Ovis aries: one gene and its partner. The protein of the gene in region 2 purifies or fractionates together with the protein of the main gene of each other region. This does not show direct contact. Links are inferred from orthologs where the notes say so. Each region holds a gene or a part of one and is shown on either strand. Other genes may lie near its edges.

Evidence for each region.
Region 1: the proteins of NGFR (region 2) and NDN purify together in Homo sapiens (affinity purification with western blotting; 3 studies listed by BioGRID). This does not show direct contact. The link is inferred for Ovis aries from reciprocal best matches to the Homo sapiens genes NGFR and NDN.

The regions. Positions count from the first base shown.
Region 1 is NC_056071.1:617,612-624,760, forward strand, and holds NDN (necdin), read right to left. Parts: upstream 4,749-7,149; 5' UTR 4,661-4,748; coding exon 3,683-4,660; 3' UTR 3,119-3,682; downstream 1-3,118. UniProt on the Homo sapiens protein: Growth suppressor that facilitates the entry of the cell into cell cycle arrest.
Region 2 is NC_056064.1:36,823,302-36,830,195, forward strand, and holds the end of NGFR (tumor necrosis factor receptor superfamily member 16), read right to left. Parts: intron 6,638-6,894; coding exon 6,385-6,637; intron 5,168-6,384; coding exon 5,007-5,167; intron 4,317-5,006; coding exon 4,015-4,316; 3' UTR 2,100-4,014; downstream 1-2,099. UniProt on the Homo sapiens protein: Low affinity receptor which can bind to NGF, BDNF, NTF3, and NTF4. Forms a heterodimeric receptor with SORCS2 that binds the precursor forms of NGF, BDNF and NTF3 with high affinity, and has much lower affinity for mature NGF and BDNF.

The DNA of each region.
Region 1 (7,149 bases), on a different chromosome or scaffold from region 2:
GAGAAGACTCCTGAAAGTTCCTTGGACAGCAAGATAAAACCAGTCAATCTTAAAAGGAAATAAACCCTGAATATTCATTGGAAGGACTGATGCTGAAGCTGAAACTCCAGTATTTTGGTCATCTGATGTGAGCAGCCGACTCATTGTAAAAGACCCTGATGCTTGGAAAGATTGAGGGCAGAAGGAGAAGAGGGCATCAGAGGATGAGATGGCTGGATGGCATCACTGAAGCAATGAGCATGAACTTGGGAAAACCCTGGGAGATGGTTAGGGACAGGGAGGCCTGGCATGCTGCAGTCCATGGGGTCACAAAGAGCTGGACACGACCGGGCAACTGAACAAGAACATCTTACATCCCAGGAAAAGAAAAACAAACTTACTTATAAACAGTTTGAATGAACAGTTTAGGATGCTATTGGAGGTAATACTAGGAGAACATGACTGCTTTCAAGGCCAGACTTTTCTCCCACTGGAAATGATACTCCTGAGCTGCTCAGGTAAAACTCAAGTGGAGGGGGCTATAGATGACTTTTCAAGTAGAGGAAATACACACCTGCATAAGAAGTTCATTTAAAACATATCTTTTCTTTTTTTATAATGATACTACAAAAGTCATTTATTTTGCTCTCAAAATACCTTATATGAGGTAGCATTACATTTTTTATGTAAAGCCTTTATTTTTAAAATAATTTTATTTTTATATTATTTATTTTATTATTTTTTTAAATATAAATTTATTTATTTTAATCAGTTAATTACTTTACAATATTGTATTGGTTTTGTCATACATACTATTTTAATGGAAGCTAATTACATTCAGTTTACACAGGTCCTTTTTGCCCTCCATGACTTTAATTAAATGAAGTTAATTATAGGGAAATATACCTGTGGGTGTCTATAAAGAAGTGAGGTTCTTGTTGGCAAAACAGACTGATAAAGCATCAGATGTTACCGGGAATTAGAAACTCTTTCCCAGCAGCAGCAGTCTGGGCTTCACCGCACTGTCATCTCGGCTGAAACATCCAGGGTCTGCAGACTCCATTCCGAAAGAGCTCTCGCAGCACCTTGTAGATAAACCTTCTGGAAAATACATGACCAACCCCTCAACTTTCAGTTGAGCCCAGCATGAAAATCCAAAAGAGATACTGGATGTCCCTTCCCTGTGCCCCAAGCTACTCTCCATGCAGGACCTGGTGTCATGAATTAGCTCTGTCCTGCATCTGGGAAGCCTCTCTCTCAGGGTCTGGCTGTCTCCAAGCCTGCATAGGAACTGAGAAGCTCTGCCCACATGGGGTCAGCTTGCTGGGGTCAGCTTCTCATTTCTCATGATCCTGTCCTTCGCTCAAGATTTGGTCCTCTACAGCACCGGTGATGTGCCTGTGTCAGGGAGCTTGGGAGAAGCTCTGGGGTGGTTCTGCCAGTCTTTCCTGGCAGAAAAGAAAGCAAATACAAACACTGGGAAGTAAAAGGACTGCGTGGCTGGTGACTTCTGGGTTTGATGAAAGAAGTGCTCAGGAGTTAAACAGTTGTTTCAAGCTGAATTAGGGCATTAGACAAAGTGTCCAGCACCCCAGCTTGGCTGGGGAGACTTACATTTAAAGGGGCAGATTTGTTTTGTTTCTGCAGGAAGTTTTGGGTTGAGATGGAGGTAATTTTTTTTTTTAAGTTTTAAAATGTCTGAATTAGCTTTGGCTCAGTTAAGAGGTGGCATCAAAGCCAGGGCACACTTGCCTAAGTTATTGCAGAAATGCCCACTACTCCCCACAGGAGACCTCACAGGACATCTACTAAAAGGGATAAACTTCCTCTCAGGACATGGGAGGCTTCTTCAGCACTTTAGCACCAGCACCTGCCTGTTAAGTAATGTTCTTTAAGCGCTGGGAATCCTAGTCTCCAATTCAGATAGTAATTCTCTCACACAAATACAACTCTCAGATTACTTCTTTTGGGGGTAATGTCACCTATGCATTCCCCTCATTTTCCATCTTCCCCAGAAAAGGGTTTGGCTTTAACGAAATGATCTTTTTCAATGTTCTGATGTTTGAAGGATTTTTGGTCTTATTAAATCCTATTTCTCTTTCTCCCCCTTGCAGCTTTGAGCTCCCTAATGAGATTTATCCTCAGACACTGCCCCTCCCTGACCCCATCCCACCTTCTGAGTGGTTGCTTAGTGGCCCATGGCAATTTTGGAGACACCCTAATAGGCGACCTTCCCACCCCAACCCCACATCCCTCTCCAAGGTGTCCCATGTATGTTCCTCCAGACCACTGGGCAGTCAGCTCCATCAGCACAGTCCTTCAGAAAAGACCAAGCTTCAAATCTTGGGTTCACTGCTAAGTAGGAACAGGACTTGGTTAGATCCATTAACCTCTCTGAAATGAAGTTCCTTGACTTGTACAGAATATGACTTAATTCCCCTAAAAGATGAATGTTTAGGATTCATTAGTAATAATCTTTAGCTGTGTGTGTGTGTTGAGAGTAGGGAGCTACAAGTACAGGCTATAACATGAAAACTAAAGATGCTAACATGGAACTTTTTAAAGGCACAATCTAAAAGGCAGGAGTCAGGAGGGCAGCTGGAGGCAGGTGAGTATAAGTTCGGCCTCTGGGCTCATTCAGTCTGGGTCCAAACCCTAAAACTAAGCCTCTCCTCCCAGGAAGCCTTTATGATCCAGGGAAAGCTAATTATCTGCTTTATTTCTGTATTTCCTCCACGGTGCCTGCTTCACAAGGCTATTGTGAGGATTAAAGAGAGAAAATATATGTAAGGGTTTAGTACAAGGCCTCTCTTAGTGCCCACAAAAGACAGCTATTATTTTTTAGAAAATATGGAAAATGTAAGAGGGGCAATTACTCTAAATATCAGCATTTGTTATTTCTATATAATGTGATTATGACCCCTGTTTTGGTTTTTGCACTTCTACTTGTCAAAGCTTTGATATGAACTTGTGAATTCCTTCCTGAAAATAAAACTATGCCCTTTACATATTTATGAGTCATGATGAGTACTGACATCCCCGTCCTATTAGATGAAATAGTTATATCTGTATACTTTGTAATTCCCATTCCAAACCCATAATATTCTGTTAAGAAGATAAAGTACACTTTTTCCATGAATGACTGTATCACAAGAATCTTTAATGTTTAAAGTTTACTCATGGTGAGGTTGTATCTGTGTTTAGTAAAGTGTGCCCACATTGAGTCTGTTTCAGTTCACATCACCAAACTCCACAGGGATGTTTCCCGTGCCCAGGCAGAGCACAAAGACAGGGGTCAACTTTTCTCTTGGTTAGGCCAGCTTTTCTGGGGAGTTTTTCCAAACTCTGCAAGACCAATTTACCCCAATACACAGCCTCCGTCACACGTAAAAGAATATGGAAAATGCCTCAGTGTATTTCATAAGTTTAGCATGTCTCTGGTACAAAAAATTCAAGAAAGGTAGCACAAAAGCGAAAGCACCAACTGAGCTTAATTACAAACAACCATGCATGAATCCTATACACTAATATTACTGAAATGAACACAACATTGCATTAAGAGGTATAAAAGCACTGTATGGAAAACTTAAAAGTTACACGTGAAATACTGCACTGTAGATCCTGAATACTCTAACGTCCCACACTCCCACCCTTCCTCCACCCTGGTGAGGGGCAGAAAACTTCCATCTGCCTCCAGACCTTGCTAGTCCTCGGAGACACTGTTGCGGGGGCAGTGGGCAGTGGGGTGGGCCTCCCGCAGGGCTCTAGCCTCTTCCAGAGCCTCCCTGTAGCGGGAAGGCCAGGCCTGGGGGTTTTTCTTAAAGACCCTGGCCAGGAACTCCATGATCTGCATCTTGGTGATTTCGCGGCTGGCACGGGAGCCCCAGAAGAACTCGTACTCAGGGGGCTCGACATGGGGGACGCGCTGGTACTTCAGGTAGTTCTGCTGGACGAACTCCTCGGTGATAAGCTTTCTCACGTCTCCGAAGGTGGAGTGTTTCTTCCAAGGCCTCAGCCCCAAGATGCGCAGCACGTTCCAGACTGCACTCTCTCGAGCGCCGCGACCCTTCACGTAAATGAGGCTCAGGATCATCAGCAGGAGGCCCGTCATCGGCATGCGGTTGCTCAGAGCGACCCTGTCCAACTCCTCTGGCTCCAGAGCTTTGACCAGCGAAAACTCCATGGTGTGCAGGCTGGTCAGCCTCAGGTGCAGCCCGAACACGCGTGCGAGGATGAGGCTGGTGCGCCGAAGGATGCTTCTGCACCACTTCTTGTAACTGCCGATGACATCCTTCACCATGTCTGGGAACCAGATGATCATCCTCTTCTGGTCCTTGACCAGCACGTACCACATGAGCTCGTGTGCCTTCTGCACCAGCTGGGCCGGGGCCGGGGGCGCCGGGCTGAGCTGACTTGTGCTCGGGGCCTGGTGGGGACGGCCTTCGTCAGCGGCCTGCTGCAGGGCCTTCGGGTCTCCCTCTTCGCCTGGAGCCTGGGAAGGCAGCGAGACCAGAGGGGCATCAGGCGGGCTTAAGGGAGGGCGCTCTGGCTCAGTGAGTGTCGCGGCCTGAGACCCCGGAGGAGAGGGCCCCCCGGTAATGCCGGGGCTGCCGTGCACCTCGGAGTTGGAGGCCTCGGCCGCAAAGTTGGGGTCGCACACATCCTTACTTTGTTCGGACATATCTGTTCGGTCTCGCAAGAGCAGGGCCGCCGAGTCCGAGAGCTCTTCGAGTCTGCTTTCCCTCCGCGGACTCCTGGAGAGGAAGTGCGCATTGCTGCGCGCGGCGCCTTCCGCAGAGGCCAGGCAGGGCGGGGCGGCGGCGGGCCGGGCCAATGCGCCTGCGCGTCCGCGCGCCTGGGGCCCGGCAGTCGAGTTGGCGGGCGGGGCTCCTGGTGGGCTGCAGGAGGGGGCTAGGAGGCCCCCAGTAAGCATAGAGGGTCCGCTAGAATATGGGCCTCAGTGATCACACCCCCTCCCCAGGTATCCTGTTATGGCTAAGGAGGAGTTCTTGAGGAGGAGGGGAGGGAGATGGGTGAGCACTGGACAAGGAGTCAGTTTAAGGGACAGATGGCAATTTAAGCTTCTGAAATGCTGAAACTGAACTTTCTTAGGAAGCATTTGATTAGGTATATCCAAAATCAAGTTAGAGATCAATCCAAGAGTAAGAACTAGGCTGGTGTGTCAACTAGGTTTCAGATCAGTGTGAGAATTTAAACTGAGAGAACAGCCAGGATTGCCCAAGAAAATATGTCAACTCTGAAAAAGAGAAGTCGCTTAGTCATGTCCGACTCTTTGCGATCCCATGGGCGTAGCCTACCAGGCTCCTATGTCCATGGGCTTTTCCAGGCAAAAATATTGGAGTGAGTTGACATTTCCTTCTCCAGGGGATTGAACCCAGGTCTCCCGCGGTGCAGACAGACAGTTTACCCTCTGAGCCACCAGGAGAACTAATTGGACAAATTGGAATTCTGAAGAATAACAACAAAAATTCATTGATTTCCTACCGTATGGAAGAGTTTTGAACAAGAAATGCAGAATGTTGTCAATCCGAGTGTGATCGAAGTTCTCTTGAAGGCAATATAATAATGACTTTGTTAGTGTTTTAATGGTCATTGATTTTGGTTTTTCTATTCCATTGGATAATTTTGATGTAAATTTTGTTTCATTAGAATCCCCTCACACAAAGATTATATTAGCATAGACTCATAGGATGTCTTTCCGCCTGTTTTTCCAGGACCTTCCTTTTCTTTATGACTGTTTCAACCTCCGCTTTTCTTCCTGTGGAAACTTCACCTTCTTAGAGCACAACATCCCCATCTTCCACAGATACTGAATAGTATCACATGCAAATCCCTCCCAAGATACTTTTTTTTTCTTTTTTAAATTAACCTAGATCCCCAAAATTTTCCCAGATAACAATTGATTTGAGATGTAACAATTGGTGGTTGTATATCAGTTTTCAAATTTAGAAACCAAATCTGCAGTTTTGTTTGAGACTGTCAACAAAAACAAAGTTGACAGTCCCAGAGGTGCATCCTTTAAAAAAAAAAATTGGGCACAGAAACCTCTGGATCCAATGTTCCTGCAGCTAATCAACATGCCTTGTATAAGCCATTGTGGTCTTTCAGCCATTCCTGGGTTTCCTCAAACTGGCAGCTTCTTACATATGCCCTCAGTGAGTCTGGCTATTGTCACTCGAAACCTAACTCATATTACAATATTGTTTTGACATTTCTAGAATCCTCTCTTTATTAGCTTGTACCCTTTTCTTTTTTTTAATTTTTATTTTTACTTTATTTTACTTTACAATACTGTATTGGTTTTGCCATACATTGATATGAATCTACCATGGGTGTACATGCGAACCCAAACATGAACCTCCCTCCCACCTCCCTCCCCACAACATCCCCCTGGGTCATCCCCATGCACCAACCCCAAGCATGCTGTATCCTGCATCGGACATAGACTGGTGATTCGATTCTTACATGATAGTATACATGTTTCAATGCCATTCTCCCAAATCATCCCACCCTCTCCCTCTCCCTCTGAGTCCAAAAGTCGGCTATACACATCTATGTCTTTTTTGCTGTCTTGCATACAAGGTCATCATTGCCATCTTTCTAAATTCCATATATATGTGTTAGTATACTGTATTGGTTTTTTTTCTTTCTGGCTTACTTCACTCTGTATAATCGGCTCCAGTTTTATCCATCTCATCAGAACGGATTCAAATGTATTCTTTTTAACAGCCGAGAATACTCCATAGTGTATATGTACCATAGCGTTCTTATCCATTCATCTGCTGATGGACATCTAGGTTGTTTCCATGTCCTGGCTATTATAAACAATGCTGCGATGAACATTGGAGTACATGTGTCTCTTTCAATTCTGGTTTCCTTGGTGTGTATGCCCAGCAGTGGGACTGCTGGGTCATATGGCAGGTACCACTTCACACCAGTCAGAATGTCTGCGATCCAAAAATCTGCAAGCAATAAAGGCTGGAGAGGGTGTGGAGAAAAGGGAACCCTCCTACACTGTTGGTGGGAATGCAAACTAGTACAACCACTATGGAAAACAGTGTGGAGAGTCCTTAAAAATTGCTTGTACCCTTTTCTCATTTCTCACTTTACTCAAGTAGATTGACTTCAAAGGGTTTTTCCCTTAGCTGT
Region 2 (6,894 bases):
AGCATCAGGTGGGAACTCATTTTCCAATGAGTCAGATCTTTGCATCAGGTGGTCAAAGTATTGAAGCTTCAAGTTCAGCATCAGTCCTTCCAATGAAGGACAGAAGTCAGAAGGGATAGCATGTGCAAAGGCCCTGTGGCTTGAAGCTTCAAGAACTGTGAGAGTGCTGGTGTGGGGAAGCACAGAGTGAGGATGAGGACAGATGGAGCAAGGCAGTGAGTCTGGAGGGGTTGGCAAGAGCCTCACACAGCCTCTGAGGGGTTGGCAGGAGTCTCACACAGCCTCTGAGGCAACATTAAAGAAGCAGTTTTGCTCTTGCAGGGGAATTAGAGAAGGGATGAAAGTTAGGCTGAAGGAGGACAAAGAGGGTTTCTCCACGATGCGGTGGTAGGTCGGTGTGAATCTCTGGCACTGTCTTTCAGGTTCTCTGCCCCACTGTCCCCAGGAGCCCCAGACCAGTATCAGTTACCTCCACACCTCCTATCCCATCCCGTGTGCTGTAAGGAGCTTTCACGATGCCCTCTTCTTGCCAGCCCTGTGGCTCCTCCTTTACCTCTCACTTCCACCTCCTGGCCCACTTATTCTGTCCCACCCTAATGACCCTCATGGCAATCAGAGCTGTGCTTTCTGAGATGGTAACCTGTCTATGGCATCCCCCTGCTTAATCCCCCTCAGTGGCTCCCCAGTGTTCTAAGATTAGTCCAGGTGGCTTTAGTGTATCTCTTTGTAAGCCCTTCCTTATCTGGCCCCCCTGACTTGCTCTCTGGGCTCCAGGCACAGGAGTCTCCCCAGGGCCCATGTGCTCTGTTCTCTCTCTTCAGGACCTTTGCTGCGCTGATTCCTCTGCCAGGAAATTCCTCCTCCCCCAGCTTGTTGACTCCACTTCAGTAGGGCTTAGTCTCAGTGTCTCTTTCCTGGCTACCCTTCCCTAACCCCTGGGAGGGGCGTCTGGGCTGGGACTCCCACTCACCCTTAGCATGGCACTCCACACCATCAGGGGCTGTCTGCTGCCTCCCCATCAAGAACTTAAGACTGTGGAAGGGTCTGCACCTCCTTATTTCCACACGCAGCATCTGGCTCTCGTCCACCAAATTAGAGGCATTTCCCCATCAGAATGGAGGCTCTTCTAGGACAGGAATTGTCTCCCTCATCAGATTAGAGGTATCCTCAAGTCTGGGGCTGTGTCTCCCCTCTTTGAAGGGGAGGCCCCTCAAGAGTCTGTCTCTGCCATCACAGTGGGGTTACCAAGACCCAGGATCATTTCTAATTTCGACTCCAAATCACTGCCCCTCCCCACCACCTTCCTCACAACCCTCACAGGCTGGGGGTGGGAGACGGAAGACGCCTCCCTCCACCTCACACATAACTCTTGGCTGGGGTCTGGTTGGCCCTTCCCAGGATCCCAAGATCAGGAAAGCTTGTTTGCTGTTCTTTGTGGGAAAGCAAGCCTCCCGTGGCATTCCCTAGCAACCACAAGCTGAACAGCTCAAACCAGCTGTCTGGCCAGCCTGGGAGAGGGGCACAGGCCCAGGGCCTGGAAGTCTGCAGCTCCTGGACCGGGCAGGGCACAAAGCCAGGCTGGTGGGAGCTGGGGCTGGGACCTGCCTGGGAGAGCCACAGGGGAGAGGCCTGCCCAACTCGGGCTGGGCCAGCCAGGCTCCTGCCAGGCCATCTGGAGCAGGACTGTCTGTGTGTGCTTGTGTGTTGGCCTGAGGAGTGCCTCCCAGGTCATGTGGGTGGCTGGGAGCTGTGGGGTTGTGACCCGGCCCTCCTAGCAAGCCTCTGGCTCCCCTGTGGTCAGTTTCACTTCTGACATCTGGTTAAGTTCACAGCTGGCCAGCTTCCTGCATGGCCATTTTCACTTTCCCTCTCCAAGGTCTGGCGGCTAAGGCCCCCACTCCGTCTTCATCCCACTTAACTCCACGGTGACACATGGGAATTTGCTGGATTTCTGTTAAAACTTCCCCGTTATGTGGGGGAGGGGGGCGGGAAATAGGACAGAAACTCACTGAGTTGGAAATTATACACAGGTCCCTACCACACACACACAACGCCCTACCAACTCAAACCATGTATGTTTCCAGAAAATCTCTGTACGATTTTTCTTTGTTTGCTATTTAATGTTCATCATTTATGTTTTATGTGTAGGTTTCAGGAGGACCCAAGAAATGATTACACAGGATGCAAGGGGCAGGTGACAGGGAGGGTGACAAGGAGTCTGGAGCTTACAGCTCCCAGCTGCGGGAGGGACTGGGCAAAAGGGCTCCATCTCAGCCCGAAGGGAGGCAGGAGGGGCCCCAGAACCAAACACATGCTAAAACATACTTGCAACCTCCAACCCCCTCCTTCGCTGCTGGGGAGGAAAATAAATACCTCAGACTCTGTCCCACTTCCCAAATTCACAGGTGAGGGGTCAGATGAGTTTCCTCCTCCTGTTACTGATTCAGGTCAAAGAAGTGCGGTCTATGTACAATGTCCCCAGTCCCTTATACAGAGGTGAGAAACCCCTTGGCTGGGGAGGGGGTGGCTGGCAGTATGCACCCTGCTCGGGGCTTGTTCATGCTAAATAGAGGGGGGCCACACTCATTCCAACATCAAGCAAAACGGGCCAGGAGGGACCTCACGGCCCCTTTCTGGTACCAAGCTAGGGAAGAAACAGTCCTTTGAAGGGTCGTCTCAACTCACAAGAGACCCTCGATGGGCCACACTCTAACTCCATTTCTTCCAGCTGCGTTCCCACACTGGTCCACTTTTCTTCACTGCAGCCTCCGGGGCCCAGCCAAACCCGTGCTTGCAGGGAAAGGGTGGAGGGGGGAGCATTCCTCCACGTGCAGGTCCTTGTAAGGCAGGCGCCAGCTCAAGCCTCAGTCGTCCTTGGCCCGCCAAACCCGGGGGTGAGGGAAGACGGCGAGCAGAGTTCAATTCCCTTCGACGCTTCTCTGGCAGCTGCCCCAGTAGGATCCGGCCTCGGCCCAAGAGAAAGAACTCTTGGAGAGAAGCAAGATTTCTCATCCTGTGTGTGTCTCTGTGAATCTGTGTGCTGCAGGTTGGCTGAGGGGGGAGGTCCTTAGTCCCCAGCCCCCAAGGCTGACTCCAGGGGAAGATGCTGCCTGTGTTAGCTCCAGGTCTGTGCTGGGATGGCAAATACTTACAGACTGGCCACACCACAGATGTCACATTGACGTGCCTGAGGGGACAGGCAGAGGGAAGCTGCACCCCTCGCCACAAACCCCGACCCTGACTGGGGTCAGGACAGACCAGGGGGTCAGGCCTTGGGTGAAGCATGAGCCCTGCACAGGGGCTGGACAGGCCTGGAGAGGGTGAAGAGCAGACTGGTTTTGGCTGTGAGACACTTGCCAGAGGGTTGTCTGGTCCCCTCCAGCAAGCCTGAGGCCTGCACCCCTCATTCAGGGTGAGGGGGCAGGCAGCTCATCTTTGGCTTCTCCATTGTTGGATGCTTTGGGCAAATGACCTCTCTCTGGGCCTCACGGTCCTGTACGACGAGGGGGATAGACTAGATTTCAACCCCGTTACCAGCTCTGATAAACCTCTGAGGCTCTTCATCTTAGGCCACAGGGGAGGAGGGGAGGGGGCTGAGGGAGGTTTAGGCCACAAAGGTGCTCCCTTGTGCCCCAAGTTCACAGTGTAGTATCCATGGCTCTGCTTCCTCAGTCTCTCCGTCTGAGTCTCTGGAGCCTGGTCATGCCCCCAACACCATCCCTGGTGTCAGCCCCCCAGATATGACAACCTGCTCAGGCGGGAGGGGCTGACACCCCGAGAAGCAGGGCGAGAAGCGAGCAGGAGGCCTGAGATGGCGACGGGGCAGAGAGGGTGGGAGAGGATGCAGGGGCACCTGCAGCACGGGAGGGAGAAGCAATGACTGGAGGCGGCGGGGCCGCACGGGGGCAGCGACTGGGCTGAGGCCCTGCCTGGAGGCAGGCAGCTCTTCCCTGCGGGGTTGGCTGGAGCATCGGTCGTCGGAATGCGGGGGCAGGGCAGGGGCTCCCGGCCGGCTCACACGGGGGACGTGGCCGTGGACTCGCTGCACAGGCTCTCCACGATGTCAGCCCGCTGGATGCGCCGCAGGGCCGCCAGGAGGGTGTCGAGCGTGGCACTGTCCTGGGCGGCCCAGCTGGCCAGCAGGGCACGGGCTGGGCAGGCCTCGTGGGTGAAGGAGTCTATGTGCTCAGGCTGGTAACCCAACTCGCCTGCCAGATGCCGCCAGGTATCCCCCGCAGAGCCGTTGAGCAGCTTCTCTACCTCCTCCCGCTTGGCCAGCGGCAGGCTGCTGTACAGGCCTCCATCACCCTTGAGGGCTGCCAAGAACCCAGGGGGAGTCAGACACTACCCACTAGACCCCCTTTCTCCCACAGTGGGTGTGGGGGCCTGGAATAAGACCCAAGAAGGGCTGAGGCATTTCTCCTCTCAGTCTGGGGAGGACCCAAGACCCTAGAAGCAGAGGGATGCCCAAGATGCAGTCCTAGATGTGGGCAGGGCAGCGGAGGCACCTGGGGGTTGCTGACTCATGTCTCCTCCTCATCCTTAGCTCCAGAGCCATCCCCAGCCCCTAACTTGCCTGCCCCCACCCCCCAGCAATTAATCAAGGCAGAGGAGACAGGACTTCTGGTCCTAGACTCAACTGCAGCCAAGTGTCTGGAGCTGGGCTATGGGCTACCAATTAGGGGACATAATTAACTACTCGTTCCCCAGAAGTCCTGGGCAGGAGGCTAATTGCAGCCACTTTGAGGAGTAATTAGCTCTGGGGGACAATTAGCTTGATGAGTCTAGATGCTCCAGTTTGTCAAAGCTTCTGTTTCCCAAGTCATTCTACTGGCAAGGGCCTCTCCTACCCACTCTCTCATCCCACCTCTTCCATCCTTCCACCCAGAGGCCTGCAGGCAGCCCCTTTGCAGTCCCTCCTACAGTCTAACCTTAATTACTCCTGTTCTCCCTGCCTCAGTACCCCGCACTGCCCCCCGCCGCCCCCGGCCAGCCCTGCTACTCACCCTGGCCTGCAGCAGTCTGCGTGTGGGGCTGCTGGTCATGCAGGCTCTGGCTGTCCACAGAGATGCCGCTGTCACTGTGCAGCTTTTCTCCCTCTGGTGGGGGCGTCTGGTTCACGGGTCGGCTGTTGGCTCCTTGCTTGTTCTGCTTGCAGCTGTTCCACCTGGAGCCAGAGCATAGGCCCAGTCTCAGAGCCTGAGGAGCCACATGGCCACGTGGCTAAAGTGTCTGTGCTCTGGCGCGCGGGCACCAAAGGCCTGGTGGGGGCTGGTCCCTAACCCCTGCCCAGCACGGGAGGCTCTCTACATACCTGTCCTCTACCTACCTTTCCCCGGCCCACACCAGAAGCACCGTGAGGGCACAGCGGTGCCCAGGGCTTGGTGTATGTGGCCAGTGTTTAGTAAATGTCCATGAGATGAATGGTGCACAAATAAATGACTTCCCAGGATTTCACTTTTCCCAATCTTTCCTTCTAAAGTACTCCCACATGTGTGCTGGCGTACGGGTAAGGATTTCCCCTGCTATTATAAGCAATAAGGAAAAGCTAAAAGCACACCAAATGTCCATCGATAGGAGATTGGTAAAATAAATTATACTCCACCCATATTATTGAATGAGCAGTTATAAATAATCAGATAATTCTATATGTTCTGAGGAAAGCTCTCCCAAGGGAGATCAGTGAAAAAGCAAGTTGTCCAATATGTAGAGTGTGATCACATTGATGTTAAAAAAAAAAAGCCAACCTGTGTGTACATATAACTATAAAAGGTTTTATACACATGTGTTTATGGGGAGATAAAAGGAGGTTTTACTACTTTTTGCTTTACAAGACATTGGTCTTCTCTGCATTATCCCAAAAACCATGTTATTTCTTTGATGATTTTTTTTCTAAAGAATGGAAAATGCATTTAAACATCTAGAATGCTTTCGAGGTCTTCTCCACATCCTGGATTTCTGGACATGAGTCCCGTAACATCCATGTGTGACATAGGAAAGAAAGATACACACACACACACACACACACACACACACACACACACACACACACAGGTAACTGTGTGAATAAATGGGGTCCAGGGAATGAGGATGCAAGCAGCTGGTAAAAGCAGCTCTGTGTGCAGCTGGAGGCTGAGGAGTCAGGTAGGGGCGCACAGTGGGGAGGTGCTGGCACCAGGGCGGGACAGGAACAATCCCCTTCCTTGCCTCCTGCTGACCTGCCACACCTTGAAGTAAAAACTTCAGGGTGAGGTTGATGGCAAGTGCGGATGAGCTTGGTTTGGGGTTGAGTTAAAAGAGTGTGTGCATTTTCAGGTCATGGTCACAGCGAAGCTCTCCCTGAGGCCAAAGATCTGGCTCCCTGTTTCAGGTTCCCCCTCTCACCTCTTGAAGGCGATGTAGGCCACAAGGCCCACAACCACCGCAGCCAGGATGGAGCAATAGACAGGGATGAGGTTGTCGGCGGTACCTCGGGTCACCACAGGCTGGGAACTGCCCATCACCGTGGTCACCACATCTGACACAGTGCTGGTCACCAGATCTTGCTCTGGAGGTACCTCAGGCTCCTGGGTGCTGGGGTCTGTGCTTTCGGAGCCCTCTGGGGGCGTGGCCCGTGTAATCCAACGTCCAGGGATCTCTGGAAGAAAAGGCTACAGGAGTGAGGACCCACTTTCCCTCGAGTCCCCCCACTAGGTTCTGACCCCCCGAGCTTTACCCCAGCCCTGGCCCGGCCCCAGATGCTTGTATGCCCAGCGGCTACACATACAGGGGTGGGCTTGGATTGGATATATGACATCACGATGGAGGAGAAAACCAAGGATCTAAGAATCAACAGCCCTCGGCCCCCTTCAGCTCTGTTACTGACTTCCTGTGTGACTCTGGACCAGTTCCTTC